2 linked regions of the Neodiprion lecontei genome follow. The main gene of each other region encodes a partner of the protein of the gene in region 2 in a complex. Links are inferred from orthologs where the notes say so. Each region holds a gene or a part of one and is shown on either strand. Other genes may lie near its edges.

What was found.
Region 1: the proteins of kinesin-associated protein 3 (region 2) and kinesin-like protein KIF3A are in contact, whole or in part, in a crystal structure (PDB 9IKB), measured with the Caenorhabditis elegans proteins. The link is inferred for Neodiprion lecontei from reciprocal best matches to the Caenorhabditis elegans genes kap-1 and klp-20. Residues at the interface, in NP_001367739.1 of Caenorhabditis elegans: Ile269, Glu272, Leu273, Val276, Arg277, Leu309, Ser310, Ile311, Phe312, Asp313, Glu314, Asn315, Lys316, Asn349, Phe350, Phe352, Asp353, Lys657, Ala660, Gly661, Arg663, Phe664, Lys665, His667, Asn668, Gln670, Trp671, Met674, Val675, Asp679; in NP_497178.1 of Caenorhabditis elegans: Tyr557, Ile558, Pro559, Val560, His562, Leu565, Ile566, Tyr569, Lys582, Ile584, Ala585, Tyr586, Gln607, Met611, Tyr612, Tyr613, Ser614, Tyr615, Arg616, Leu619, Ala621, Ser622, Thr623, Ala624.

The regions. Positions count from the first base shown.
Region 1 is NC_060266.1:25,201,790-25,216,191, forward strand, and holds kinesin-like protein KIF3A, read right to left. Parts: upstream 9,473-14,402; 5' UTR 9,330-9,472; coding exon 9,315-9,329; intron 9,237-9,314; coding exon 8,818-9,236; intron 8,714-8,817; coding exon 8,508-8,713; intron 8,424-8,507; coding exon 8,284-8,423; intron 8,192-8,283; coding exon 7,994-8,191; intron 7,905-7,993; coding exon 7,513-7,904; intron 7,419-7,512; coding exon 7,001-7,418; intron 6,930-7,000; coding exon 6,804-6,929; intron 6,731-6,803; coding exon 6,593-6,730; 3' UTR 5,917-6,592; downstream 1-5,916. Other genes in the region: centrosomal protein of 152 kDa-like, read left to right, coding at 88-410, 498-601, 691-1,917, 1,998-2,213; lysosomal Pro-X carboxypeptidase, read left to right, coding at 3,666-3,824, 3,931-4,071, 4,271-4,551, 4,628-4,785, 4,883-5,055, 5,158-5,510, 5,595-5,838. UniProt on the Caenorhabditis elegans protein: Component of the kinesin II motor complex (composed of kap-1 and the heterodimeric motor proteins klp-11 and klp-20) which is required for intraflagellar transport (IFT).
Region 2 is NC_060262.1:131,985-148,463, reverse strand, and holds kinesin-associated protein 3, read left to right. Parts: upstream 1-6,256; 5' UTR 6,257-6,673; coding exon 6,674-6,699; exon of another isoform or gene 6,700-6,799; intron 6,800-6,860; coding exon 6,861-6,978; intron 6,979-7,319; coding exon 7,320-7,482; intron 7,483-7,559; coding exon 7,560-7,769; intron 7,770-7,977; coding exon 7,978-8,114; intron 8,115-8,202; coding exon 8,203-8,533; intron 8,534-8,598; coding exon 8,599-8,777; intron 8,778-8,874; coding exon 8,875-9,043; intron 9,044-9,131; coding exon 9,132-9,232; intron 9,233-9,313; coding exon 9,314-9,532; intron 9,533-9,611; coding exon 9,612-9,777; intron 9,778-9,883; coding exon 9,884-10,009; intron 10,010-10,098; coding exon 10,099-10,203; intron 10,204-10,281; coding exon 10,282-10,367; intron 10,368-10,450; coding exon 10,451-10,637; intron 10,638-10,755; coding exon 10,756-10,846; intron 10,847-10,918; coding exon 10,919-11,060; 3' UTR 11,061-11,756; downstream 11,757-16,479. Other genes in the region: ATP-dependent RNA helicase WM6, read right to left, coding at 127-244, 457-594, 783-929, 1,715-1,846, 3,522-3,640, 3,817-4,000, 4,115-4,335, 4,633-4,834; guanine nucleotide-binding protein subunit gamma-1, read right to left, coding at 12,172-12,384; T-complex protein 1 subunit theta, read left to right, coding at 15,991-16,050, 16,309-16,479.

The sequences.
Region 1 (14,402 bases), on a different chromosome or scaffold from region 2:
ACCCAAAACAAGAACATTGCATGATGACCATAGTTTATTTGAACATCTTTAGAATCAATTGTTATAAAAATTTACCATGTTTCACAGAGTGCAATTGGAACAGACCCAAAAAGAACTAGATCGAGTTAAAGAATTATACGTAGATGTTTGTGGTACAAAAGAGCAACTGATAGCACAGCATCAGGAAGAAATTGCGGAATTAAAAGTAACGTATGCAGACTTTGAGACACATAAGGCAATGGCGGACAAGATGAATCGTGACTTAGAAACTCAGGCATCCGTTATAAAGAGGCTAACTAAAGAGTGTGAGCTTTATAGGAGTAAAACTGTAGAACTGGAAAAAGATTTGAGTCATGAAAGGCAGAGAAGAGAAGAACATGCAAAAAGAATACATGTTGAAATTGAGAGAAGTGAGGAGAAACCATTTTGATTTGGGTTTTGAAGCACCTTTATAGACGTCAATTTCTGACCATTGATTTTGTCTTTCTTGTTTGCAGCGAAAGAAGAAACGCTGAAAGAACTGCGTAATGCTTACCCAAACCGTAACATAAGTGTAATTTTACCAGATCACTGCTCTGAGCATGTAGATAAAATTACTCAGGTATGTATGTTGTTTAAAGATTGTTTTTCATGATACAGAGCACATTTATAGTCAAATATACTCTTTATGGCTATCATATCCTATTGCAGCTTGAAGATGATTGCAAACGTTTGGAAGAAAAGCTTTCGAATGTAGTCGAAGAGAGGAAAAAAATGTCGGAACTACAAACAAATTTGGATGATGCTAGATTAAAAATAGCCCAGTTGGAAATCGCACATGAGTCTTTAAAGAAAAAGTGCGAGGATGTTGCCAGAGATCGAAATTCCTGCAGAGATAAGATCTCTGCATTGGAATTAGAATTATTGAATGCCAAAAGAAGTACACAATCGAATTTACAGGAATCCAGTGATATCAGGCAAAGCCTCGAACGTGCACAAAGTGAATATGAATCATTGCAAAAAGAATATGATAGTGTTTTGAGGGATAGAAATACGTTGAAGGATAAGTTGTCTAGTTTAGAAATAAAACAGTTGCAAGGCAATACAGATGTTAATTCAAACTCGGAAGAAAGAATGATACTTTTGGCTAATGAGTCACGGCGCAACGATGAGCAGCTTCAACTTCAATCGAAAGAAATTAATATGCTCAAAGAAGAACGAGATCAGCTCGTAGTTAAACTGAAAGATCAGGCAAGACAATTTGAACGGTACGTTAAGAGTCAAATGCAAGTGTCAGTGGAATTGAACAACTCTCCTCGCAGCTTGACAGGTGATGCTGATTTACAAAAAATGAGGGAAATTGCCATAAAAGAGGTCAGGGAAGAAATGGAGGAGAAAGTGACTGACGAATTAAAGGGGATTGAAGAGCAACATAAGCAAAGACAAAAGGAAATTGAAGAGCAGTATAAAACCCTGTTGTTAGAGTTGCAGTCAAGGTGCAGAGAAAAGACTGAAGAGGTTGAAGCAGTAAAGGAAACTATGATCGCAGAAAGACTCCGGTTACAGTCGAGGTTTAAGGCGCAGGAACAAACGATAGCAAAAATGATAGAAGCAAAGCTGGAAAAGATGCATCATGAGTTGGTGGCGAGAAAAATTAGGATAGAATCCTTGCTGGAGGAATTAAGAAGGAGAGAAATTGATATGGAAGAACAAAGAAATGTAATGGCCCAAGTAATGTCCGAGTGGGCATCGGAAATTAGATCGGTCAAAACAAAAGAGGCTGAAATGAATCAAGATATTGAAAAGTTGAAGCAAAAGGAGGAGGCCTTAACCGAAGAAGTCAAAGATTTAAAACAAACGGAGGAAGATATGAAAAGTAATATCAATATGTTGAAACACAAGTATCAGTCAGCAAGGAAAACTGCTCAAAATTATAAGGTAAGACCTTCGGGATATCATTCGGTATACCCAACGATAAACGTCTACAGTTCTGGTTTTAAAACTGACATGGTTTACAGGAATTGGCGGAGAATAAAGAAAAATTCTTTCTAAGCGAATGCGAAAGGATCAAGGAGGGTTACAAAAGAGCCATGAATCAAGTACAACAAAAAGTTGATGCAATAGTGAGCTCTCAAGAGAAACAAGTATCGACAAAAATGGCGGAGCTCGAGAGTCAGTATGAAGAACAGTTAGAACAAATGAGACTTAAAATGAAGTACAAAAATAAATGTTGAAGTATGTATTAATTCCACTTACCTCTGGTAGAGCTTTCCGTAGTTTATGATAAATTTTAGTTAGAAGAGGCTAATTATATATTATTCTAGTTTAATTTAAAGCACTTTATTGTACAACACATCATTAGAAGAGATTTTATTTTAGGAACAATATTTTCAAATATATATAATAATATTACCAGTCGCTGCGGTTGCCCATACATCAAACGATACGATAGTCATTATTATAAGTGTTACATTTCTCTATAAGTTTTGCAATCATAATTGCAAAATTCTATATAATTAACAACAGGCAAAGTGCCTGGTCACGTACTTTGTAGGAAATTGTAATTGTAAATCACAAATTGATACAAATATTAAAAATAATATTAATCATTTCTATAAAATTTATATCATGTAAAGTTGAAATTTTATAAATTTTTATACTTAAGATATTAATAACAAGCGTCGTACAACTGTCCATCCGTCAGAGAATGTCGGGACAGTACTATAAGCACCAGTAGCCACCACTGAGTTTGGCTCGTTAATATTGGATGAGGTTGTACACGCAGGTTTTCATTATTATAATCAATTATTTTAATTACTGTAGATCTGCAAGACTAGATAATTATGTTTTAGATAAAAATTTATGCCTCTGTTACTATATGAATATTCGTTTAAGTAATAATGAAAAGAAAAAAATTTATTCAATATATGGGAAAAAAGAAAAGAATGAAAAGGAAAAAAAATATTTATATTAATCGATACTTTCGTAGATTTATTTTGAACTAAATTTTCATTAACTGTGGCAATTTGAAAAAGAATCTATTCTTCTTTCAGTGACGTATCTATCGTGTCGTTTGGATTGGAAATTTCAGCAACCAAACTATAGAGAGTATTGCATAATATATACTGTTTAATTACGTGTCGATACTGTCACAAAATAATAATATCATCATTATCATTTATTATAAAATCATCACTAAATACAGAGTATTATTAATATTAATTACTTACGATGTATTTTTGTACGTAGAATGAATTAATTTATTTTTTGTAATAAACATCTTATGTCATACCAGATTCTAACTAATACTAATCAGTAAAAGCGACATCCTGTCTGTGTTCAGAATGTGCGGTTTTGGTTTGGCATTTTCTTTTCGTTTCATGCACAATCCAATGTTTCTAGTTATATTACGACTCGTTATAAGAATCTGTAGTTTTAAGATCCCAAGTATGTTAACTTGTTCATTTCAACAAGCCATTCAAACACTTGTCAGCTATCGAAAGATAATTTTTCGTTATTGTTTATATTTGATTTCCCTTTATTTGAATTGGATAACATACAGATATACAAACACGAACGAACGTCACGAACACATTCATATCATTGTACGTATGTGTTGAGGATTGATAGAGGTCAACGTTCACTGGTTTGTGATTGCAACCTCAGTGTTCCTCGAGCAGTCGATCATGATGGATCTCCCTACTGCTTTTGGTTTAATAAATGCATTATTCTGTTGTTACATTACTTCTGCTAGCTCAATAGAATATGGTGAATTTAAACCAGCTCAAAACCAGGCAGTAGAAGACATCAAGTATGACTTTGTGATCAAAAAGTTTCGAGTACCCGTGAGTGAACAAGTTTGTTGTATCTTGTAATCAGTCAGTAATTTGTTTTCTTATTTAACTACAAAGAATAACTCACCGTTGAAATTGACAACTGTTTTTTTTCCAGCTCGATCATTTCAGTTTTTCAATGAACGCTACATTTGAGATGCGATACCTCGTTAATGACACATGGCAGAGGGGCAATGATCCACCTATATTCTTTTACACAGGAAATGAAGGGGACATCGAACTCTTTGCTCAAAATACGGTGAGAGATTGCACAGTAAACGTAAACAATTAGCGTTATAACTATATGTTGAAAATTCTATCACTGCATGCCGATTATTCTGGAAGTCAGTGAGCTTATTACAAATTGGTTCCGTGCAAGTTTAAAGCATTGCCCCTTGTTTGTACAAGTTTTGAATTATGTGCAGAGTTGATACTGATATCCAATTATTTTCTTGCAGGGTTTTATGTGGGAAATTGCACCAACCTTTGGCGCATGTTTAATCTTTGCTGAGCATCGCTATTACGGAAAATCTATGCCGTTTGGTAACGAATCTTATTCAGATTCTAGTCATCTCGGATATTTAACAAGCCAACAAGCCTTAGCTGATTACGCTGACTTGATAAGTTTTCTAAAATCTGCTTCGAACATGAAACATAGCCCTGTCATTGTATTTGGAGGCTCTTACGGTGGAATGCTTAGCGCATGGATGCGGATGAAGTATCCACACCTTGTAAAAGGGTGATAGTTGCAAAAGTCTCTTTTGAATGCTAAGCCTTGCTAATAATGCGATAAATAATCCACCTGAAAATTTCAGAGCAATCGCAGCTTCGGCTCCGATCCTACAATTCACTGGTATCACCGAATGCGGCGCATTTGCGAGAGTCGTCACATCAGATTTTCGCATAGCGCATCCAGAATGTCCGAAAACAATTCTCAAATCGTGGACAGCAATCGCAAACGTTACCTCAACTGGTGAGACAGAATATTACTTTATTAGCATCAGTTATATCTGCTATTTCCTACAGGCGGGGACACCTTCACGGATAGAATAATTTAATTTATTTTACAGAAAATGGGAGGAAATGGTTTTCAGAAAATTGGAAATTGTGCCAGCCGTTGAAAAATTCATCAGACATCAAAGTGCTGAAGGACTTTCTGACCGATATTTACGGAAATTTAGCAATGGTAAACTATCCATACGCGTCAAACTTCTTAGCGCCATTACCTGCGTATCCAATATCCGTAAGTTCTATTCTGATATGAAAAATTTCACTCTTTTCAAAGTAAAAGAATTGAACCAAATTCAAATAACATGTATATCTATGATTATTTTTGCTCGTGTAGAAAGTCTGCAGCTACTTGACGAACTCGAATCAGAACGACATGGCGCTTCTTCTTGATCTCAACAAAGCGATTAGTGTCTTTACAAATGGCACAGGAAACAGCAAGTGTTTATCTGTGAGCGAAAACTCTTCTCCAAATCTGGATAGCAAAGGGTGGTCGTATCAATCTTGCACAGAGATGGTCATGCCCATGTGTACCAATGGCGTGGATGACATGTTCGAAAAAATTCCTTGGGATTTTAAGAAATTTAGCGACGACTGCTATCAGAATTTCAAGTCAAGACCCCAGCCTTATCTAGCCTGCGAGGAATATGGATGTCAGGATCTATCTGCAGCTAGTAACATCGTGTTTAGGTGCGTTTGCTGTTTATTTAGTCTTGGAACTGACAGTGACTTCATATCGTGCATCAATTATTGCATTACTTATAAAATTTTCAGTAATGGATTGTTGGACCCTTGGTCAACTGGTGGAGTTTTATCAAACGTTTCGTCGTCGACAGTGGCAATTCTCATACCAGAAGGCGCTCACCATCTAGATCTCAGGGCAAGTAATCCCCATGATCCATCTAGCGTGATTCAGACGCGACAAATTCACTGCAATTTTATTAAAAAGTGGATTCATGAGCATTGGGTACCTATTGATGATAAAAATACAGTACAACATGAAATTATAAGTGTTTGATAAAAGACATAATTTTGCTTCTTATATTAATACGGGGAAAGTTTTCATACTGAATTTGAAATATTAATAGAAATAGGATCTTTTATAATATTTACGATTTGTTTATTCAAATTGCGGATATAAATGGTTTTACATGAGTGGATAAATAACACGTTGCTCGTGAGTTTACTTTAACTAAATTTGAGAAAAGAGATTAAAAGTTATCGACATAGATTTGTTGCAATAATGTAAAAACATATTGCTGGTGATTCGTCGGATTTATTACTATTAAAAAGCTGCAGTATACGTATATTAATTACTAATCAGATCATCAATCTTGTCGTTAAAAAAAGATATTTAAAAAATTAAGCTGCAAAGCATCAGATGTTCCCTCGATGTTACAATTATTCTGTACAACGAATTGAAGATTTCTTTTCATACTTTTTATCATCAGCAATCAAAGCAGATTTACGTAGATTTACTGACTCGTCAAACAGACATTTGTATATGAATATAAAATAATTCAGGAACAATAATTTATAATCCTTACCTATAATACGTATCATAAAAAGTAAAGCAGTTTTTACATAAACAATAACGAGTTCTATAATGTGCTAATATTCGTGCTAAAACTACCTCTCAATCGAGTCCTTGCGTATCCATTCCGTTAAAATGATACCAATTCTTTAAATAAAGTGGTAATTAAAAAAAAAAGAAAAAAAAATACACTATGAAAAATAAATATCTAGCTTATGGTTTTGCTTAAAAATAATGCTTAGCGAGGGGGTCGTCGATGAGCAGTGGTCGGCCTCGGAACACCCGACCGACCTCTCAACTTTTTTGGTTGGGCAAGACTGCTTTCCGTGCCCGTGTTGTACGAAAGGTAGATGTTAGAGAGATCAGGCTGTGGTTGCTGTAACAGAAATTGTAGCATGCAAGTTTGTCAATATTCCAAGCTTTCGATTAGAATCACAATTTCCACTTACATCTTTGTTGCTTCCGGTCGAAGGTGTGGCTTGTGCTTTTCTCATATTGTTTCCTGTGTACGCTACGCATTTCAATTGCCACTCCCCAATGTCTTCGTTCCAATGAACGTACCTTTCGATCATCGTCTGGAAAATATTATGCCGGTCAGGACAAAGTTGGTAATAATGATTAATTTTCTGTACCTCAGTTTACTTACCTGATATTGAACAGGTATGTAGTTGTTGAGAACGAGTTCGTGCAGTTGTAATTCTCGTCCAATTTCTCGTACACCTTCCAGGAGATCTTCCATCTCTCGCTGATGCTCTTGTTGCAAGTCCGATAATTCCGCCTTGGCAGACATCAGCATGGTGTAGACTCTGCCTAATTTTTTTGTTTTTCCTGCAGCCTCTTCTTGCAGGGACGAGTATTTCTCTTCGATGTCTATGCGTTCAGCCTCTTTTTCCTCAATAGCTTTCTTCAGCTGTTCTTCTCGGCTCTTTCTTTGGTCCAGCTCAATTGCAGATGCCGCGAGTAGCTGTTCCTGAGCCTCGGCTTTTTCCAATAAATTCTCACCTCCGACTAGAATTTTGTTTTGCAAGTTTTGCATTTTTTCCCTTAACGCTTCTTTCTCGCTTCTAAGACAAAAAATGAACAGTTTTTATTTGATATTGATTATCAAGTGTTATTGTGGGTGTTATTTTTCTTTTCATACCGAACATAAAAACTCACTGCGTTCTCTTTAGCTCGATGACATCTTTGTCATCTGGGCTTTTGTCGTGCCTCTCTGCCTTGTCCATTTTTTCTCTCAATTCTACTTCACCATCTTCAAGTTGATCCATTGAAAGTATTTGGCTCTGTCTATGTCTGGTTTTTCTATCACACTTTGACTCAAAATTATCATCAGAATCTTCGGTCTCGGGATCAGACTCAGAAACTCCTGTACCATTTTCTTCGAGTTGTTTACGCAGCTCTTCAATTTCAACTTGGAACTGGCGAAGTAGGGCGTCCTTGGGGTCCTCGTTAATTCTAGCTCGGTTCTTAATATTTTTAGCTCGATTGGCGTACCTTAGAGTACTTATAGTTTCATCGTAGTTCATGTCAGCAGGGCTAATGTTTGCGCACTGCGAAAAACATTAATCCATTCAAATTTGGTTCATTGTTCATTCAAGAAAGAAATTGTCACAATCACGAATACTGGGTAAATAGTCACCATTAAAGTTTTCGAATTTCCACCCAGCGAATCCTGCAGCAATCTTGTTAGTTTAGAGTTTCTGTACGGGACGTGTGAACTTTGTCCGTCAACAAGTGCGGATATAACATTGCCCAGTGTCGACAGAGACAAATTAATCTTTGTAGCCTCTCTCAGACGGACTCCTGTCGCTTTGGTTTTACTTTGCCTCTCTGAGCCCTGAAATATCGAGGTTTTAAATCTCGCTGTACTTTCGATGTTGGAATTTAGCAATTCAAAATTCGATCTATATACTGTGAAGAAATACACACAGCTAAATCTACAAGGTGAAGTTTTCCCATTTTAACGTGTTGTTCTCCATCGTCGCCTAGTTGACTGGACTCGACAGTTATGGTGAATATCGCATGGGACCTAGAACTGGAAACGTTCATCGCCGTTGCGCCGACAACCCCTTAAATTAAATAAATAATGGATTATCTTGAGGTGACTTTGTGTCTTTAGGAATAGCCGTTGAACAGCGATTAAATAGGCTCACGATTCTTATTTCCTAGGGTCATGATGCGGTCCAAGTCATCGGCGTTATTGACCACATATCCGCTTAGGTCTTTAACGAATACACCAATGTCCGGTCTCTCTTTGACTTCTAAACGAGTATTTTGATCCTTTCCTAACAAATCTCTAACTTCTTCGTTGTAAATCTCCAAGTATGTAGCGCGAACTAAGAACCTGCAAAAATGTAGTCTGAGATGAAATTCATATTATTTTAGTTCAGTCACGTAATTATCAGTAAATATTTATTCTGCAATTGACATGATCAAATTGAATAACTCGCGGCTGGTAATTACTTCTGATTTTCGTCAGCCTTAGCGATGTGGCCAAATATATGGGCAAAGGTGTTCGGAATGATGCCTCTTAGCTGTGGGGAAGTCTTGGCGCCAGACATGGTGTAGGTTTTACCAGTTCCCGTTTGCCCGTAAGCAAGTATCGTCCCATTGTAGCCTTGAAGAACCTTGTCGACGATCGGCCGGGCTGTTTCGTTGTATATGTCAACCTGTGATGAGTCTGTATCGAAAACTGCGTCGAAGGAAAACAGTTTTGGTGGTTCCCCGGGAGCAGCGTGAGGATTTTCGACCAATATTTCACTGTTCAGAGAGTCAACTTTTGTTATATTCTTACAGTGACCGTCCAACTCCTTTCCGTTCAGTGGTCTAACACGAACGACCACTCTAACGTTTTCAATCTCTCCCAGCTCCGCAGCATTATCCTGTGAAATGTATATTTCGTGTTAAATCAGTGCGGTCGATGAGAACGAACGTCGTTTGAATAATTTTACCAAACTCACCCCTGGTCCTTCCATTATCCTTTGAAAATCGCTCTATAAATTTCTAACTCACTGTACAATATCACGACTTTAAGTCTGCCAGGGAAATACGCTCCTCGCAATGACAGTGACAGGAGCAGACGACACCGCCTCAAACAATCGAATCGATTTTTTTTAATCACAAACCCTTTTTACGCCGACAGCGCGCTCTGTCTTCAATCATTAATAGCTTATTGTGTCATTTAGAGTCCGTCGGTAAATCAGATGTTCTGCCAATTGGAATGTATATTGTGTAACGGGCAAACTCGGTCTTTTTAGGCCGAGCGTACGTTTGCAATATGAGTCGTAGGTGAAGTCGAAGACGAATATTGCAAATATGCGAGGCGAAAAGACCGTTGCCTTCTCGTTGCACACGATTTTTCATGTAACAAGTGTATGTTACACGTTTTTTCACGAAGCACGAAATTGAGGTTAGGGTCGCACAACGTCAGATTCATTCGCGACAGCGCATGCGCGCGGTCTAGAAAAGACCACTTTAAACTCCTAGGGCTTAAAAGTGGTCTTTTCAGTACTCCTCGTAAACGCATTCACAGATTCACTCGAGCGTGATAGAATAGACTAGCACTTTTTGTACGAAAAACACGCATGAAATAACGCGTAAAACATGCTCGCGTTATGTAAAAGTAGATTCCTTCATATGCAGTTAAAATTCAAATTCAAATTGCATTTGCGCCGGAGTCGCGCGTGAGAGATTGGGGTTTTCTTTATTACGTTTCGGCAAGCTGAAACAATATCGCGGTACCAATCTGGAGTGTATATGACGGCATTGTGCGTAATTCGTAGGGAAACAATACGGGCAATGGCGATGCGTTCATTGTGCACCAGAAGCTGTACGCACCCCTGTTTGCTAGCCACCCTACATACGTGCGCCATGTGTTTGTTAACTAGGTGCAGGATCTTAATTGAAATGGGGCAGCTGACAATAAGACCAAAGCGTGAACAGCACAGCGTTTAAACGGGTCTAACTGTAATCAAATTCAAATTTCACTCGAGTATTTTCACGCATATATTTATACACATACTCAAAATTAGTTGAGTATCATATCGTTGAACAAATAAAATGTGTGTAGGAAATTATCATCATATGCACAATTCATTGAGTAACATTTGTGGAAAATTTTTGGGATGAAAAATTAATTTGATGTATTTATTTACCTAAATTTTGTCAAATAAATTGTAGCATTATTTAACGCGATACCTATTAGAGCTACACTGAAATCATGCTCAATTTAGCACAGTACGATTTCACTTAGTTCGCGCCAATTGATTGAAAATTATTGAGATTGAGAATTATTTTCAAAATATAGATCAGTCCTCACGTACCGGGACTTTAAGGATTATACGACATTATTTATTATAATAAAGGAACGCTGAAATCAAAATACCTGCAATGTCAAAGACGACGTTACGTCCGTAGACTTTTTATCGAACAAAATCTCTCATCCCAGTTCGCTAACAGAAATATATACAGTTTAAAGATAACTCAATCTCAGAAATAGTTTGATTATGTTGGCGACCGTTTGTTCGTTTGACAAAAATAGACCGACCTTAGACCAGACCGTCGAAGTGAGTGTTGCGCTCAAAGCGTGTAATAAACACACGCATATCTAGGAGGCATGCCACATACGACCGGACAAGAATGTACAGCACCAGGGGCCCTCTTCTCGTCCTACGTATGGAGAAAGAAATGGAGGGGGGGGTTCGATTCACGTTCACGATTCACTCGTGAATAACACACAGACGTATATATGCACGCCCGGCGACGTTCATTGGCACTCGATGTCAGGGCTCTTTCACTCCCCTCGGTTTTTCCCGTACCCCCAATGCGAACAACACACGGGGTTCCCTGCACATGTGCATCAACCCCGTGGCTGAACGAAGCCCTTAGTCAGCCTCAGCCAGCAGCTAACGTCGCTTGTAAAGCGACGCAAGTGTGGCGCCTGCAAGCCGTCTTATATAACGATTCATCTTTGCTTACGGGAGTAGGATATTTTATTCTCAGTCGTAATTATTATAAGAAGCTCTCTCGGATCAGCGTGCGAGGGAAATATAAGAGAGGGAGAGGGAACGTATATCTAGTTATACTCGTAGTAAATCCTGTTCTCCGTAACGAACGGAGAGACGCGGCGTGCGTGGATTACGCATGAGTTACGCGCGCATACGTTTCGGTTTGGGGACTTATGGGAGTTGGGCCGGTTTCACCGATCACCAAACAGCTTCTACGAGTGCCACCTGAAGCCTGGAAGAAGCTAGGCCGCGTAGCTAGCTGCTCGGGGTTGCTTCGTCACCGGAGTTCAAGCCGGTTGATCGGTTCGAGTCGATCCCTGACGAGTGAAGAGCGAGCGAAGAGCGAGTGAGAGAAAGAAAGAGAGAGAGATAAGTCGATCTGAGACTGGAAATACTAGGACTCCTCTGCTCGGGGATAACTCGAAGAAGGGATAGAAGAAACTCTCTGTAACTTGATTCTGTCGTCCCAGGTCAGTGTTGCCACGGTGGTCACGGTGAGCGGGTGCCGTTTTTATGACTATCGATGTGGATATCTGCGTATCTGTCCGTACTGAATGTCTTTTATACATCGTTATTGTATCCGCTTTTACAGACACCAGGAGTTTCGACAATAATCATCCGTAAGTCGAGTCGCGCGAGTGGATTTCTCAGTGTTTTATGCCGTCAACGGAATTAGTGCCGGTTATAGTAAGCACCGATGACACGTGACGAGGAAATCATACAACAGATAGAAATTTTAACTGAACAACATTTCTGAGCACGTGAGTTATTCCTGTATTTATAGTTTAATATATCATCTTAACCCTGGTAAAAATTTCTAATACAACGAATTTTTACAGAAATTTGAACATTTCGTATTATTTTGTACAAAATTGAAAATATGCATAGGTTTAAGTAAAGAGTTGTTAATTTTCGTTAAAAATTTTAGTATCTTGCGATTGTTTTTACTTAAAACATACAATTTATGAGAAACTATGCATATTTACAATTTTTTGTACAAAATTCTACGAAATGTCCAAAGTTTTTTAAAAAATTCATAGGACATCGTAGAAATTATTTTCATCGGTAAAAACACGAGTTTTGCGCGCATCGATGCATGACATTCGATGGGACGAAGGGTTAAACAACGAAGAGAATCGATATAAATTTCTCAAATCGTTATACATCTATCCATATCAGCCGATAAGCAAGCGTTAACCTAAGATTCTGTATTAAGATTACTAATTAAAAATTAAACGACACCCCAGATACCCACGTGTGGAGTCTCGTATAAAAAGCCGTCTGAACGATAATCACTATTCACGGCCGGTGGCGTTGAAACTGTTTAAGAATTTCGAAACTAGTTGTCGGACTGCTTTTTAAAACTCGATGTAAACATTTCCCGCGGCATTCTGTACCTCGTCCATTAAAATTAGTCGTGTATTTCAATATAATGCTGTATAATACCCCGCAACGCAGCGTATAGGGGAAATACACACGGTGTAAAAAGACTCCGGAAGTCATTCGATTTACATACCTGATGGGCGACAGGGTATACAGAGTGGTAAATTCGTTCCACGAAAACTAATTCCGACAAAAAGCTAATGGTCAAAAATTCATTCAACCAGGTTACTGTGTATAATCGGAGCAAAAAAAAAAAAAGAAAAAGAAAATTCCCCGATTCATTTTCGCCCTGCTCTATAAACCGTCTGATTTTTTATTTACATCTCCCACGCATGAAATTATAGGCAGTATTTTGACGCAGACCCGCCGAGTTATAAATAATATCAGATCGTGTAACGAGGATGGGTTTCGCACAATATCGTGCGTAGCGTCGAGTGTTGCGGGTATATTTTTCGGACACCCCGTAGGGATCGGTGCACCTTGCGTTCACGGCGAGAACATATCTCTCTCCCTCTCTTCCTCTCTCTGTGTGTGTGTGTGTAAAGATGTTACGTGTATATGCTGCACGTGTAGAGCACACATCGCAGGGAACCGCGTATCCATACATGCATATATATACATAATATACCATATACCTCGTACGTATCTCAGCTGCACCTATACCTACCTACCTCTACCTACCTGCCTGCCTGCAGCGTGCGACAGATGTTGCCCAACAAAGAAATAAAGAAAATAGTAGAAAAGAAGGAGAATGGAGTGAAACGGAGTAGTAAAAGAAAAGAAAGAGAAAAAAAAAGAAATAATACGAAAAGAGATGAAAAAAACCGCCCAACAAGCCGGCTCTCCGACTTCGTTAATACGACAACGACGACGACGACGACTCGCACCCATAACGGTCTTTAAACTATAAGAACCGGGAAGAACCAGCCGTTCCACTCCTCATTCGTCACTCCCTGCATCCTCGGACACGAGAACAGCGATGAGTGCGATGACTGGTTTCCATTTTTCGTTCGATCATCCGCTCTCTTCTTTATTTCGACGCGAAATTTCGGCAAAAAAATTTCTCACCGAATGTGACGTTCAGATTTTTAACGAGATCGAAGCAAGTCGGTGCAAGTAAGCTGAAGCTGTAATGTTACGGGTGTAACGCGGTTGCTTAACCGGGACTTAACCGTTAACGGGCCCCGGACCAGTCCCTTCGTAAATTTAAAACATATGTTAATATATACCGGGAAGCGTGCGCCAGCTTGCATACATATGCGTGTAATGCGTGTAAGGATGCCGTACACCGTATACACACAGTTTTATGCTAAAGTTCTGTGACTCGACTTTACTATCGTCGTCGTAGAAAAACATATCGGACTGCGTTGCCGTTTTACGATATCGCCTGTCTATACGCAACCCGCGACGCGCCGCGTGCTTTCGTAATTATCATTCTCATCCACGTATTGTAGTCTCGACCCTCCGCGTAGGTATTCAACCTGCGTTTGAATATAATTAGCGTCTGCAGTATTGCTCAACGGAATACCGCCGAGGCGTACGTCTTGTACGGTGTATTATGTATTCCGTTCCTTTATTTCCTTCTACGCAGGTCAAATGGTTCTTACTTTCGTCCGTAAGTCTTTGTACACACGGAGGGAAAGGATTGTTTGAGTTGAG
Region 2 (16,479 bases):
CCAAGTGGAGAGAGATTCAATGTTACAGATTTTCAGCGGTTTTTTTTATTGTTATTATTAAACACGTTGATTCACTCATGACAGGAACCAGTCCTATATAATGAAAGAAACAAATTGCAAACTTACTGTATGAGGCGAGATCAATTTCATCCGGAAGTTCAGTGATGTTGACGTCGAATCTTTCTTGAACGTCGTTCAAAATTTTTGCATCTCCTTCATCGCTGACTAATGTAATAGCAAGACCCTGTATCGCAACAAGCAAGAAAAAAACTGTCACCACAATCATAATTGTAAAATGGAAGGAGATTCTGAATCGATCACGTTAAAAAAATTCCGCATAATCAGGAGAGAGTTCAAGAGTATATCATGGCGTGAATCAGTTAGAACACATGTTTCATCATTAAGCGGAAAAATTAAAAGGTTCAAATCTAAATGATGCGATATTATTCGACTTACTTTTGTACCAAATCGTCCTGCACGAGCTACCCTGTGAAGGTAAGTGTCGGAGTCTTCAGGCATATCGTAGTTGAAAACTATGTTGACTCTTTCAATATCCATCCCACGACCAAATAAATTTGTAGCAACCAAGATACGCTGAGTACGGATAAATATAGTCAATATCAAGTACGATAAATATTGTCGGTATTATCGCTATTTATCGATATAGTTCTTGCGAATTCACAATGGATGGTAGATAAATAGATAGTTATTTTATCCAGTTCAATATTTAATATGAAATATTTCATTAGAAGGACGTAAAAACTGTTTAAAAAAAATTTTACCTTTTGAAAATCTTTGAATTGTTGATATCTTGAAAGCCGTTCCTCCTGGGTCATTCCTCGATGAATACCAATTGCTGGAAAGTTTTGCTCTGTCAGCAATTGAGCCAGGGCCATGCATCTTTGCACGGATTTCACGAATATCACAACCTATCATAAATGAAATTTTTAAATTGAGTTAAAGTGTAGAAGGTGAACTTAAAAAGGTTAGAGTATTTCGCCACAGCAAATTTTTGCAATTCAGAAGTGAAAAATAAACAACTACGTTTACTTGACTTTGTATGAGTGATGCATTATATCACATTATATATCTGTATTAAATGAACATATTTACATTCAGTGAAACAGGCTTTTTACGCTAATGTAGGGGACAACCTGCAGCACTCAGCACAAGACACCAGTCCCCTTAATCATGGTGTCCAGTAAAATATCTGTAATACATTCGAGGACTCCCAGTAAAAAAAAAAAAAAAAAAAAAACACGAATGTAGAGGGCAGGGGGCACTGTATATATAATCAGCGTGACGTATGAGATATACGTTATTTCTGTTACAACCTGTTAGTAGGGGAAAACGAAAAATGCGATTCAAGGCGGGAATTGACATTATAAAAACAATTACTCAGTGAACACAAATAAATATATCATTCACTGGCACACTTCAAAAATAGTATATTTCCAGGACCACTGGACACCATGTCAAGTAGGTCAATGGGGTTGCTTCATCGAATCTCTACGGGATATACAGGGTCCATCAGTAGTGGGTGATGGAATGATGGAGTCATCATACTTGGCTAAGATAATTCACACATCATTTGGACCCAATAGTAAATCCGCCGTACGTGTATCAAACGTGTCTAAAGAAGTTACTCAAGCGATGCAGGTGTAATTTATACAGGTAAATGAATGCGTATGTCATGAAAAGAAAACAATCGTACCTGATTAAACTCTAGAACATCCAACAGTTCAAACAATTTCTTATTCTTCTCATTCTCCTTCAGCTTGACATAATGCTGTTGTAGACCGTGTAAAGTGAGTTTGGCCTCGTCGTCCACATACACCTCCATCGGCTGCGCAAACAAGGTATTTATAAGACAACCTACACTAGCCTGATCTAATTCCAGCGCATATGGATGCCCAAATACTTCACAATCCGTGATCCACGAATCTATCGATTCAGCTTGAAGTCTGTTTCTCTCTATCAAGCTATGGTATCAAGGTAATTATAGACACGTATCAGACCTCGTTAATCTCACTGGACAGCATCTTTTCAGCGTTCCGGTATCGCAACATAGAGAAAATGAATTGGTCTTTTCAAAATACCAATATAAGTCAAATATGTGATTCTTGAAGAATGAAGATTAAAGTGAACGTGGACCATACCGAAGTTATTTAATGTCGCGCAATTATAACCACTGTTTGAAAACAAAGTAGAATATATGATCTGATATGAGTTTGTGTTCCAATATAAGAGAACTGAAACCACTTCATCGCTCCAATGGTCAGGTATCTGAAGTACAATTATTTACATACAGGCTCTGGGATAATCTGGCAGTTGGGTTTATCACACTAGTTACATACGGTCAGGCGATTCCATCTCTCGGCATTAGCGCCGACACAAATAGAGTGCGCACCCAGGAACGCTCAGCCACTCCCATTGCTGTAGTCTCCTTCCCGTAAACTTTCACTTCTCAAGCACGTGAACGGCATATTGGCATTCGCCAATGGCATTGGCCCATACTGTAGGGTTTTGTGGTTGACATGCTCGCTGGCTCAGAATCTTATTCATCAACTTTGAGCCATGAAAATAAACTCGAACGTTTTCTAACCGCGACGACAGAAACAACGCAGCACCATGTTATGTTTTTGGAAATCTAACGCGAGATTTGCTCTGACGAGTTGCTGTTTTGTAGTACCAATCAGTAATGCCGGACAGATACTAAGAGTCTAAAGTTATCGAGCTATTGGGTGAAGCCTCCGACATTAGACTTTATCCCTATCTAGGCGCGGTTGTTTCCCCAAGTGTCCTCTTGAGTCTTCTTTCTTGCTTTCTTCTATCTTGGAAGCGATGTCTTGAGGTCTTCTTGGCCCCCCACCCCACGAACCCGTGCGAGATCAATATTTTTCTTATGTAGCAAGAAACGATCCATGTGTTGACATCAGCACACTTCTGTTGGTTGTAGCGCGTTACAATTATGACAGAGTTATCATCTTTCCCGTGTTAACTAACGTGGTATTGACGTTTATAAAACCATAACCTGAATGCGATTGAACGTGACGAGATGGGATTCACAAATAGATGACTATGGGAGCAAGATTCATTGTTTCCAAGGTTTGAAAGATCGTTCTTATGAAGGATGCATGGACTTTGGAGGTCTGTTGATCAAGATTGATTTGTAGGACGTTTATGCATCGTCACGTCAATTAACGGTTCAACGCGACGATTGTTTAGATTCAACGGAGGCTTCTCCTATTCACTGATGATCGAGGAAATGTTTTCAACGAAACTCTGTTGCTACGACTGTTCGCGAGCGCGTCGTCAATTAACGGTCGAGTCTGAGTGGAAATTCTCCTCAGACGTTCGTTTGGACGAGATCAACAATAATTTGGTCTGCCTAGCTAGCCTAACTCGCGGATGTGCGCAATAGAATATTCATGGCACGGTCTGAGCTCAGTCCTGGGTAAACGCAGAGCCAACGAAGAAGCGATCGAAGATCGAAGAGAGGAGGAAGTTTTTCTAATTACATCTTGCATGAACTTCTTGCAGACTGGACGTATATCCTTGGACAGGGTTGCGCTGAACATCATCACTTGTTTGCCGTGCGGAGTGCTCCTGAATATCTCTTGAACGTCACGCCGCATATCTGTGGTAAAATCGACCATTAGTATGCTAAAATTGTCTTCTAGTGTTAAAGAGTAGATATGGCTAGCAATTATTGTCAGAAAGTGGAATGCTTATAAGGCAATTTTTGACGCATTACGCAAATAGGTTTCAAAGATCAGAAAAGGAATAAGCATAGCATAAAGAGTCAATTCTCACCGAGTAATTCCAGCATCTTATCGCACTCGTCTAAAACGAAGTGTTTCAGGTGTTTCAGATTGAGTTTCTTGTTGCGCACAAGTGCGAGAATACGACCAGGTGTTCCCACCACGATATGAGGACAAGTATTTTTTAGTACCTCTTCATCTTTTTGTATCGGTAATCCTCCAAAGAAAACACCCACCTGCAAGTTAAGAATTTTTTGATGTTATTACACACTTATGTTAGAAAAGGGTGGGAAAAAAAAAAAAAAAAAATTTATAAAACCCGTCCTGTTTAGATTGTGCTTTAGAATCACCTTGACAGCTGGCATGTATTTACTGAATCTCTCGTACTCCTTGCTGATTTGAAAAGCCAATTCACGGGTGTGGCACATGACCAAAACGTAAACCACATTCTCCGTTAGTTCCAACTGTTGTAAAGTTGCGAGCACAAAAACAGCAGTCTTTCCCATACCAGACTTGGCTTGGCAAAGGATGTCCATGCCCAGAACTGCTTGTGGGATGCATTCATGTTGCACTGCAACACAATAATTTTGCAACAATTTGCTTGTTAGGCCATGGTCTTGTATGGAGCTTTAGAATGATTAAGAGTGCTAAATCGAGTCAGAATACAGATAGATCGTTCATTACTAATCAGATGTCCCTATCTATAATATCATCATTCAGACTACAAAGTATCTCCCAACCGCTACCCCCTTAGATTGTTAAGTAACGGATTGAATCTGGGAAGGAGAATTCTTATGTAAGTTACTTGTACAAACATTCTAAAAATGTAAAATCTTCTGACCGACATATATCTATAAAATTATAATACCTTCGGATGGATGCTCAAAACCACAGTCGACAATGGCACGAAGTATCTCTGGTTTGAGGAGGAAATCACGAAACCCGCTGCTATGAATCGATACATATGTACCTTTGACTTCTTTTTTTGCAGATATGTCTCCGCTACCATCTACCACTTGTTCGGTTTGCTCATCATCCTCGTAGTCTAACAAGTCTTCATTGTCTGCCATTTTTTTGTATTATATTGACGCTTCCTGTATAAAGTTTTTTTTATATATATATAGTCCATTTTGTGATTAGAAACCAAATGCATCCTATAATATCTTTAGACGATGTATGTACCATTCAAGTCACGTAAAGTAAGTGAAAATCGAGTTCGATGGGTAAAACAAGAGTCTCTTTGGTAGAAGCAGAACCATTAACCAGAGCAATGTTCAAGCTTTAATTCTTGGATCTCGCATATCACGTCTGAATAATTGGAAATAATCTTCTGATTTAAATAACGTTTAATTTACTTTTCCATTACAGAACACAATTCTGTAAGTTTCTTCGTATAAAAAAAGTTTTATTGAATAGTTAGGAATTATAACATTTCATTATCTTTCCCCGTTCTAGCCACGTACACAGTACATGAATTTGCATTCGCCATCTTGTGTACGCGTCCGCACCGCTATCCTTCCATAACGTAGTAGACGAAAAAATTTGGAATTACGACCGCGAGCCACGTAGAAAAATTCATCACAGTAACTAGGGCCAACATATCAATAATTGATGCACAAATATCCGTGAAACTAATCGCTAGTTTGAAACTGGAACATTATATGAATATCGCCGAAAAGGAACCTTGTGAACGGAAACCAGCTTGGGGTGACCAGCACCTGCCGGCACCATTTCAGTGATTCGACATTGTTCGACATACCGCCATTACCGTCGTTTCGCTCATCTTCAGCAAGGTGGGCATATCAGAATATATTTGATTGAATATTGAATGGCCGGAGATATGTTCAGATACAAATATGATCGTTAAGCCTTCAAAATTAACAGCTAAATCAATTTAACGGCGATAATATTACCATAACACGCAGAAGACACAAAACTGGTACGTAGTATCAAGGATTAACGTTAAACAACCGCCGCGAATGTTAGCGTACAAATATAGTGTAATTTCAAAGAAACAACAATATCAGCTAAAAATTAAACAATTATTTTTTGCTTGGATCAAAGGATCGCGTGTTTTAAATAAGATTACAGTGATGAGAACCGGGTGCGACAACTTACCTCAATTGAAAATGCAAACTATGTAGGGTACGAGCATCAACTACGAAGATCAGGAAACGTCCAGGAACGGTGAGCTCGGCCCAGAGAGTGGGAAAACGGATGACGCGACAAGGGCGAACCGCTGTCCGTAAAGTATACAAACGTACCGGAAGATAACTGAGCAACGCCGGAACCGCTATACTGCGGGGCAAAGAGGATTACGATACGCGACTTGTGTCCCCCGACTCACTAGGTGACGCTCACGGCGACGGCTACGCAAACCTTCCACGGCTTCCAATCTGCCGAATCCTCTTTGCTGCGCGGCATAGATTGAATTCACGAGGCTCGCTGTCTTTAAAAATTCTTAGTCAGTGGTTTCCTGTTGGCTATCCCGGCTATCCGCTATACCTATTTATTATTACCCCCACTCTCCTGTACACTTGGTATACATTTATACCTATGTTGATCACTGATGTTTATAATCCATTTGTTATAAATTCATCGCGACGACTCCGAACATCGTTCTCCATCGTTGTCATCGGTGCCGAAGCTTTTGGTTTGCTGTTAACTGCTGTTATGTTCCAATTGCCGTATAATTTTTTCTAATTTCCTACAGTGTTGTCCTATACTGCATTGCCCATCGGTCACGCAGATCCCCGCAGACTTTTATTGACAGACAGGAATACACTAATTATAGAATTGTCGAAAATTGCGATGGCTGGTGCTTGCGGAATTAAGTCATCCACTCATCAGCACTAGGAACCTAAAGATACAACGTTCATAAATAAAATTGTCTGTGGTCTTGGTCAAAGATGGACGAAGCAAAGTTTTTAAAAAGGTAGAGTTTTTACTGGCTGATCAGCCTTCTATAGATTATCCTCCGATGCAAAATTATATGACAATGACAGCTGTCTCTGGAACATGTCCGGATAGAATAGGTGAGAGAACAGGAATTATTGTTCATTTCTTCCTTGCTCAGGCTGAATTTTTCTGTTTCAGGAAAGTGAGATCCGGCAACTTGGATGTTCATCCAACTGAAAAGGCTTTGGTAGTCAATTACGACGTGGAAGCATTGATTTTAGGAGAACTTGGTGACCCTATGCTAGGAGATCGCAAGGTATCGATACTCCACCTTCCCAGTCTATCCTCAACATAACCGTTGTCGACTATGCCCACACTGGACATCTATTGCATGTACCGACTCCCATGGAACTAGATTTGTGTTCTTTCATTGATTTCTTATTCGATGAGTGCACGGTATTGATGTGTGTACCTACTCATCAATTTGATCGATACATGGCAATAGTTATATATCTATTACTTGTTATGTATGAGTTTGATCAAATACAAAGTGTCCTGACGGTGTGAACATGGTCGTCAATGATGAAAGTACAAGGGTAATCACCTTGTTAGTTATAGGTCAGATTATATATTCACATGTATCGACCAATATTTTAGGAATGTCAAAAGATAATACGCTTGAAAAGTTTGAACGCTGATACAAACGTAGCTCTCCTCGCCAAAGAAGTTATGGAAAAATGCAGTTTGATTCATGGGTCCAAGTTACGAGAAGTTGAACAACTCATCTATTATCTGCAAACTCGTCGGACCAATGATGAAGGTAGGATAGTTCAGTGGAGAAATTTTTTATTCATATTCGTATAATTTTATTGATGAGTTTCTTTTAAATTGTTCTAGTTGAGGATGTGGGTATACAACTTTCACGGCCAGCATCTTCTCATGCAACAAACACAGAGCGCAATGTTGACATCGAGAGAGCCATTATTAGCAACATTGACAGTTATATTGAACTTATGTACGAAGAGATACCAGGGAAAATTAGGGGTTCGTCTCTAATTCTACAGCTCGCCAGAGTTCCGGACAACTTGTTGGAATTGACAAAGAATGGTCAGTAACATGAAATGAAAAAGATATCAAATATATCGGGTATTCCCCCTTTTACTTTGTACTTTTTTAATACATTGCAAAACAACGATACAAAACAAGAGAGTACAATCAACAAGACTTGTGGGAAGTGATTTGGTTGAAAAATGTATCAAGCTTCTACAGATTTTCCTAGTGGTATTTACAAATTCCTATTTTCTCTTGTTCTCAGAATCCCTACTGAGTGCACTAGCGAGAGTTCTGAGAGAAGACTGGAGACGCAGTATCGAACTATCCACTAACATAGTCTACATATTCTTTTGTTTCTCAACTTACAGTCAGTTTCACAGCATAGTACTAGAATATAGGGTAAATTCAAAACGTTCTTCTCTCTTGTATAACGAGCAGCTTGTCCCGTACGTTTCAGATTTATAAAATTTTGGATCTATTTCATCAGATCGGCTCTCTATGTATGGACATAATTGACTTCGAGCTTGGGCGTTATGACCAGTGGAAAGAAGACATGGAGAAACGGCGTCGTCATTTTGAAAGTACAACAGGCCTCTCGCTTTTTCCTACTGAAATTGGTAATAACTTGGATAAAAAAGCAATAGTCGGCGATGAGATCTGGAATGCAGATGGTCCCCTTGACTTTGAAGTTAAAAGAAGATCCGTCGAATTGACAAGTTCCGCTACGGACGTTGATGTTAATAAAATGAAAGAGGACATTGAAAAAAGTCGTAAAAAGTTTAAAAGTTTGACAAGAAAACAGGAACAGTTATTGCGAGGTAGGTGACAATGCTTTGTTCTTAAAGAAAGAAGCTATTTAAATATGCATGTACTTTATGTTTAGTTGCCTTCTACCTATTATTGAACATTGCGGAGAACACAGAAGTGGAACGCAAAATGCGTAAGAAGAACGTCATTGGGATGCTCATCAAGACATTAGACAGAAGCAATACGGATTTGCTGATATTGGTTGTGACTTTTCTCAAGAAATTGTCTATATTCCGCGAGAACAAGGACTTAATGGTATACCTTAACACCTGTGGCTCACAATTTTAATCATTCAAATATCCTCTGTGTTCTCAATTGCCAAAGTTGCATTGAACTTCTGTAATAATTTTAGGCGGATCTGAATGTAATTGAAAAATTACCGAGGCTACTACACAACAGTAATTCTGATCTAATTCAAAGCACTTTGAAGTTATCATTTAATCTTTCATTTGACACAAAATTGCGGTCAAAGATGATACGGGTAGGACTGTTACCAAAGCTAGTCACGCTGCTGATTCAAAGTAAGTTGATTGAAGCATCATACGAAAGTGTATCCTACGTTCTATGCGATGCGTCTTATAACAAGTCTGCTTTAATTTCCTTCCACAGGTGAGATCAAAAACAAAACTACAATACTCGGCTTGCTCTATCATCTCAGCATGGATGACAAAGTCAAGTCTATGTTTACATATACAGATTGCATTCCTATGGTACGTAGTAGGCAGTTACTTCAAGTCACTACTAATCGGGCCAAGGTACAGATCTAAAACATTGAATCTTGATATGCATAGGTTACCGACATGATTTTGGTGTCTAATGATAATCAAATAAAACCGGAGTTGACTGCATTATGTATAAATTTGGCCGCCAATAAACGGAATGCTCAGCTAATGGTCGAGAACAACATTTTGCAGGGGTTGATTCGTCGTGCATTTAGAACTCAAGATCCGCTAGTGATGAAAATGATACGAAACATATCACAGCACGATTGCACCAAGGAGAGTTTCATTGTGGGTATTCCGTAGGAAATGTATGAGTATTTAGCCATCCACTGCCTTCCTTTTATATGACAGACTTTGTATGTTACAGGAATTTGTTGGCGACTTTGCAACGGCTCTGACTCAATCAGAATCGCAAGATTTCGTGCTGGAAATTGTTGGAGTCCTTGGCAACTTGACACTTCCGGATCTTGACTATTCACAAATACTACGACGATGCAATCTAATACCTTGGATAAGAAACAACCTTGTGCCTGGTAAACAATTTCTGTTCTGTACAGAGTCTAAAGAATTAAGATTTGGAGAGCGTTTTTATGTGATTGTCGAACGCCAAAGTTGACATGCTCGTGTACTTCTTGGTAGGTAAAGCCCAAGACGATTTGGTACTGGAAGTAGTAATATTTTTGGGTACGGCAGCTTACGACGAAATGTGCGCCCGATTATTGTGCAAGGCCGATATTTTACTGTCCCTGGTGGAATTACTCAGAGGTTTGTTTCAGCCAGAAGGCAATAATTTAATAAATTTATAATTCATTCCGTCTACGCTTATGACTACAAAAAATTCTCTTCATAAACAGCAAAACAAGAGGATGATGAAATAGTACTACAAATAATCTACGTATTTTATCAAATTGCTAAACATGATTCTACAAGAGACTATTTGATTCGAGAGACTGGTAATGGTAAGTATATTTATTTTCTATTGATGCTTTCAAGTATTGCTACAATCCGTGATTGACTCGTTCGTCATTTATTTCCAGAAGCCCCTGGTTATTTGATAGACTTGATGCATGATAAAAATCCCATGATCCGAAAGGTATGCGATGCCTGCTTGGACGTTATTGCGGTAAGTTGTTTGTCGAAAGTTGTTCCCTCTTGTTTAAAGCTAGGACTAGGATTACACCAAAATAATATACTCGATTATTTCAGCTTTGCGACGAAGACTGGGCAGCTCGAATTAAAGTTGAGAAATTCCGATCACACAACCAACAATGGTTGGAGATGGTAGAGTCTATTACATTGGACCCTACAAATCACCTCATGCCAGACGAAGACGATAGCCTCCCACCATTTGCTAGTGGAGATCTTCTCAAACATACAATGCTCTTTCCAACCAGTAAATAATATTTACAAGCATTAAATATATTCAACATACTGTAAAGCGTGGAAACAAATTGTTTCAAAATATTTCCGGCAATTGATTTTGAAACGACGTTTAATACACCTTCTTTCAGGTAATGCTGCTTTGTTTAATGCAGACGATGTCGATGTTGTGGCTAAAAGCTTATCGGATGCTTCGGAGAATCCTAGCCGACCAGTCAGTCGGTAAGTTAAGAAAGATGGGCAGCTAAACAAAATTAACCGCAGTGATTTGATAATTACTGAAATACAATTTAGGTACACTAGAGATTTAGATGAGATGGGTGAACTAACAGCTGCCCGCTCCAGGTCCCGACTGTCCATTGGTTCTGGGATTGAGGACTTGTGTGTCTCGAAAATGAAGTGTAATGAATTCAATGCCTCTCACGTACTTATATAATGGCTGGTAATTTGAATAAATTTCTATTGCTGATCTCATTACATTATCACGTATATAGGTAGATATACAAGTAGAAGTAGCGATACGTTAAATTATTTATTCATACTTAGATATTGTACACACACACACGCATATACATATTGATTTATTTATTCCCTTTAGAATAACATTGACATTTGCAAATGTTATAAAATATGCAGACTTGCTTTTCTCTTGTTTTCAATAAAGCAATATTGTTTGAGAAATGAGGAAAATAACTATCTTACGATCATAGGTCCAATCAAGTTCCAGGTGATTAATCATCATAGCAACAATAAAATGCCCATGGATGTTTGGCTTTCGCCAGAAACCGGAGCTGGAATTGATCAGGTTTAGTTGTTACGGCAATCAAAGCTCAAAACTTGACAGTGTCTGTTCGCACGGTAGAGCGATTTGCAATATACAGAAGATGAATGTGATAGAATTGGAATCAGTCAGCAGCCCACTGTACAAGCATAGCATAGCTCCACGTTTTGATGATTTGCTGGCTAACTTTAATTCAACTCCATTGGGATCACTCTACAGTGCAAATAAAAACAGAGCAGAAACTTTGAACTCTGTTGATTGTGAAATTAAACTCTTTTATCTTACAGCATGTATCTTACAGTTATAAAATAAGTTTAGATTACTTATTACAATTATTTTGGACACATCGAATTGTCTAAATAAAAAACATTCCGCCATGGCAGAGCTGAGGCCGCTTCAAGAATAGCATATACGATGATTTTGCTGTATTGACTATTGCCATCGATTATTATCTAGATGTGGAAGCGATAAGACAGAGATTCAAAATTATGAGAAATTTCAATCGATGACAAGTGAACACGTGTTTGCTGACTAAAGCGCAATTCTACCGGGTTAGTAAAAACAAAATACAGGATAAATGGTTGATGGTAAGGAAATTATACATGTTTGGTTTTTCTCTTATCTAAAAATGATTAGTTGACAAACCGTGTCCAAGTGCACAGTTTGTAGCACGACGAGGCATTCAGTCATATTGAAACAACAGGTGTGTCTGCCAAAGTGAGATTACCCTGCTAAGAGGAGATCCCGAGACTGGTTGTTACTCAGCTTATAGAATGCTGCAGGAGCTCTTCTCGCGGAAGGGGTTCGACTTTTGTGAGGAGAATCCGACTAACAGGCAGTCCTCTTGCTCGTGTTCCGTGATATATTTCATTATATCCTCGACGGCCTTGCTGACGGTGATTCGCCTGATCGCAGCCTCGCGACGAAGCTGCTCGGTAACCTGACGTTGCTGTTGTAGATTCGTAACCATCATGTCCATAACAGCCGTATCGGACAGGCCTATTGTTAGGGCGTGGCGGTACACTCGGGCGATGAAACACGGCCTAGAGGCCTAAGGGTTTCGCAACGGAGACGGTTTCACGGCACCGATTCCAGGGGTGAGACTTTACGACTTGGTTCTTGGACGTTGTTGCGAACTGCGGGCGTCGGTCGACGGAAAGGGTTGAACTCGATCTTCGGTAAATTGCCGAATCGCTCGCCACTGAACGAGTATTCTTACTGCCGTTGGCTTAGTGAAATTTGTACGGAATCCAACAGAGCTTGCCGACTATGACCGATCTATGTATGCATGTGCCTACACACATATGTACGTAACGTACAATACTAAACACTTTAAAATAGCTCCGGAATGAATATGTGTGTACAAGATTATCAGCAATCGCGAGTAATGGCGGCTTCCTGCGGCTTCGTACAAAAGGTACAAAATGTTCGTTTGACGCACGAAGTTTGACGGCGACACGATGGGGGTTTTTAAAAGTGCAGTGGCACTGACTAAGGACTATTAAAGATGGTTTACCCTAACGGGATTTTATGTATCTTATGGGATTGCTTGTCAAACGGCCTCCACCGATAAAAAAGTTATCGGATTGCCACACTGTTATCCTCATATTTCTATGCATATTACTGACGTTCACACATGCATTTTTTGGCTTTTTTTACCTCGCAAGCCAGAAACAGATAAGGGAAGTTCCCAAACTGGCACGAAATCACAATCACGAAATATTGTTTATAGCTGGCTTTCTTTAGTAGGATATGCAATGGCTTCTCAACGCTTCCGGTTTCCATTCATCGCTGCTAGATGTTCGAAACTTCTGCGCGACTAAATTCATAAGCAAAAGTTCATTTCATTGGGTAAAATAAATATTTCTCAAATGGATTCTTTCCATGCTTATGCGTGGAATTAAATTTTTTGTTTCTCCGACGGCGGACAATTTGTGCAGTTGGTATGCTGCGAGCATTGACCAGAAGTTGTCTGTTCTTGCAGTTTCGAATCTATCGCCGGGGGTGCGAACGTTCCGCAGTTTCAGTTACACCAAATTTGCCATAAAAATCATGCCATATTGCGTCTTGACGGTTTTATATTGAGTACATGCTGATCTAAGTGATTTACATGGCGATTTCAGGTGACTAGAAAGATAATTGTGAGTGTAAATATTCGTTATTTTAATATACAAATCGGTTGAAAAAAAACAAACATCACGATGCCCGTTGCCCGGTGTAATACCGAAGGATGGAAATTTTGTTCGTTATTTACACATGTATGTATACTGTACAGAATAGAGATGAGAGTATTTTCGCGTAATATTGTAGGAAATTTGTCGGCAATAGCTAAAGCGCATTGTAATTGGCATTCATCATCAATGCTTTGTGAATGTCTTACTTCGTGGTCAACGGACTTCGGCGGGATTCGTGATTTATAATGGCGGCGTTCTGGGTATAAACAACTGACAATCGGTGGAAAATTTCTCTTCTTGCCGCCAATTTAACGGACGGGTTTTGGCGTGCCGTTACCGTATCGTCGTTAATTGTAGTTATTGAAGTGAAAGAAATGTGAAAAGTAGCCGTGAATACTCTGTTTTACATTTGCAATTTTTCGCATGCAGGGATTCAGGCCACAGAGGTATGAATATAGCACAACTGGCATTGCGAAGTCGTTTAGGCTATGGAAAATTCACCGTGTCAATTTTCAATTGTTGCAAGCTAAACTCAGATAACATTCGAAATCATTTACACAAGTCCCAATCCTCTGTACTCGATCGTTTAATCAAAATGTAGTCTCGATGAATCCTAACAAGTGCAGCGCGGAATTTAGAAAGCAGTTTTGTTCTATTTGTGAGGTGAAAAATTGTCGTGAGTTTTCCATCGGTGATATTCTTTGCCGTTTATTCAGTGTTTTCCATAGAACTGTAAAATTTATTCAGTGTCTTCCACGGGAATATAAAATTTATCCAGCGTCTTCTACAGGAATATAAAATTTATGCAGTGTTCTTAAGAGGAATATAAAGTTTATTTAGTGTTCTCCACAGGAATATAAAATTTGTTCAGTGTTCTCCACAGGAATATAAAATTTTTTCAGTGTTCTCCACACGAATATAAAATTTATGAAGTGCTTTCCATAGAAATATAAAATTGGTTCAGTGTTCTCCAGAGGAATATAAAATTTGTTCAGTATTCTCCACAGGAATATAAAATTTGTTCAGTGTTCTTCACAGGAATATAAAATTTTTTCAATGTTCTCCACACGAATATAAAATTTATTAAGTGCTTTCCATGGAAATATAAAATTTGTTCAGTGTTCTCCAGAGGAATATCTAATTCACGACAGAAAGGATGCACTTCGGATGGTGAGGCTGGACCGATTATCAAGTTGCAGCATGGGTGAGTCGCATGAATTTAAAATCACTCATTATTTCTGGCTGTTAGCTATTTGAAAATGTTCGGTGGTACCATATCAAAAGTGTTGGAAACTCGCTCTTGTAATTTAGTCACTAATGTCACCTATAGGTCACGGCGGCAAAAGTTTTTAAGCGTTTCAAATGTTGGCAAAATTCAATTGGGCGACTTTTTAGCTTAGTCTGATAATTAATTTTGTTGAAAAATTAATGGCTTGTAGATTTGAACTAATTTTAAGGTGAACTATTCAGCTGACAAGCAAATGTCCGAGTCGGTGCGCATTAAGATGATTTCAAAATAAATATAGTTTCTGTTGCATTTTTTCCGAATCCAGAAATATTTTATATTTAATTCTGTTGAGACAATTTTTAACACTTAACTTTACAACAAACAGGATTAATTACTCAGCATATACTTTGCGTAATTGAAGGGAAACTAATTAGTTTTGAACTAGTATCTGAATATATAGTTTCCATGTTGGAGCTTTACATATCATTTGTTAAGAACAGGTTCTTTTGTTCCTCGTTTTTACGGTTTTGTTGAAATGTGGGGATAATCTTACGCCATTTATAACATATTGATTCAAGGTGGACTGGATCAGTTAAGATTTCTTTATAATATACATGAACCTTGTATAGACTGTATACTTTATCCCACGGTGTAAAGATATATAGGTGTAAGTTTGTAAAATTCACTAGCTGGCAATACTGAGTCGAGCTCGGAACGGAAAAATACATTGAAAGCATGATTTTGTTCGCAACTTTTTAATCGGACGACAAAACGTTTGGCTTTGATGTAAGCTGCTTTGATTTCTCACCATCATGCACTCTATGCTCGTGAATACGATGTATGTATGTACGTGAATCAAAATATTGAGACACTACATGGGGCTAAAACGTGGGTCGTCGTTGATGAAATTTCTTCACTGAACGTTGCCAAAGATTCGCGTATTATTTTGAAATGGCCGAAAGAGCGCCGATCTTCCAAGGCACGGAAGTAACAGCAGTGCCCTACACTTACCGACTCAATCGAAACAAGTGCGTAGTTTGTTCGTTCACCGCAAAACTACCGTGGCACTGCTGTCGATCACCGAGCGGTACGAGCAGGCACGAGGTGTAGGACGACAACGACAGACGACGATCTACGCTTTGTGAATTGGTGTAAGTCGTTAGTGAAAAATTGCGTCGAAAAAATGGCTCTGCACGTTCCACAAGCGCCCGGAGTGGCTCAGATGCTTAAGGATGGAGCTCGCGTAAGTATTTGTAATTACGGTAGTATTTTTTTTACTTCCAGTAACCGTAACGCGATTATAAATCGGCCGGGTCACCGGTGATGCGTACCGCGTGTGGGCGCGGAGGTACCGACTCCGAGAACGTTCCATCCGAGATTCGTCACCATTTATGGGCAAAATTTATTTTCAATCACATAAAATCATTCTCGTGCCAGATAATTTATTTGTTTGACGCCCGCGTTAGATATGCTATTTTTAATGTATTTCTGCTTTTCAAAGTATTTTTCAGGTTTGGAAGAAGCTGTTTATAGGAATATATCTGCCTGTAAACAATTTGCGCAAACGGTCCGTACCGCCTATGGGCCAAATGGCATGAATAAAATGGTGATAAACCACATTGAAAAGTTGTTTGTCACAAGCGATGCTGCTACTATTATTAAAGAGCTGGAA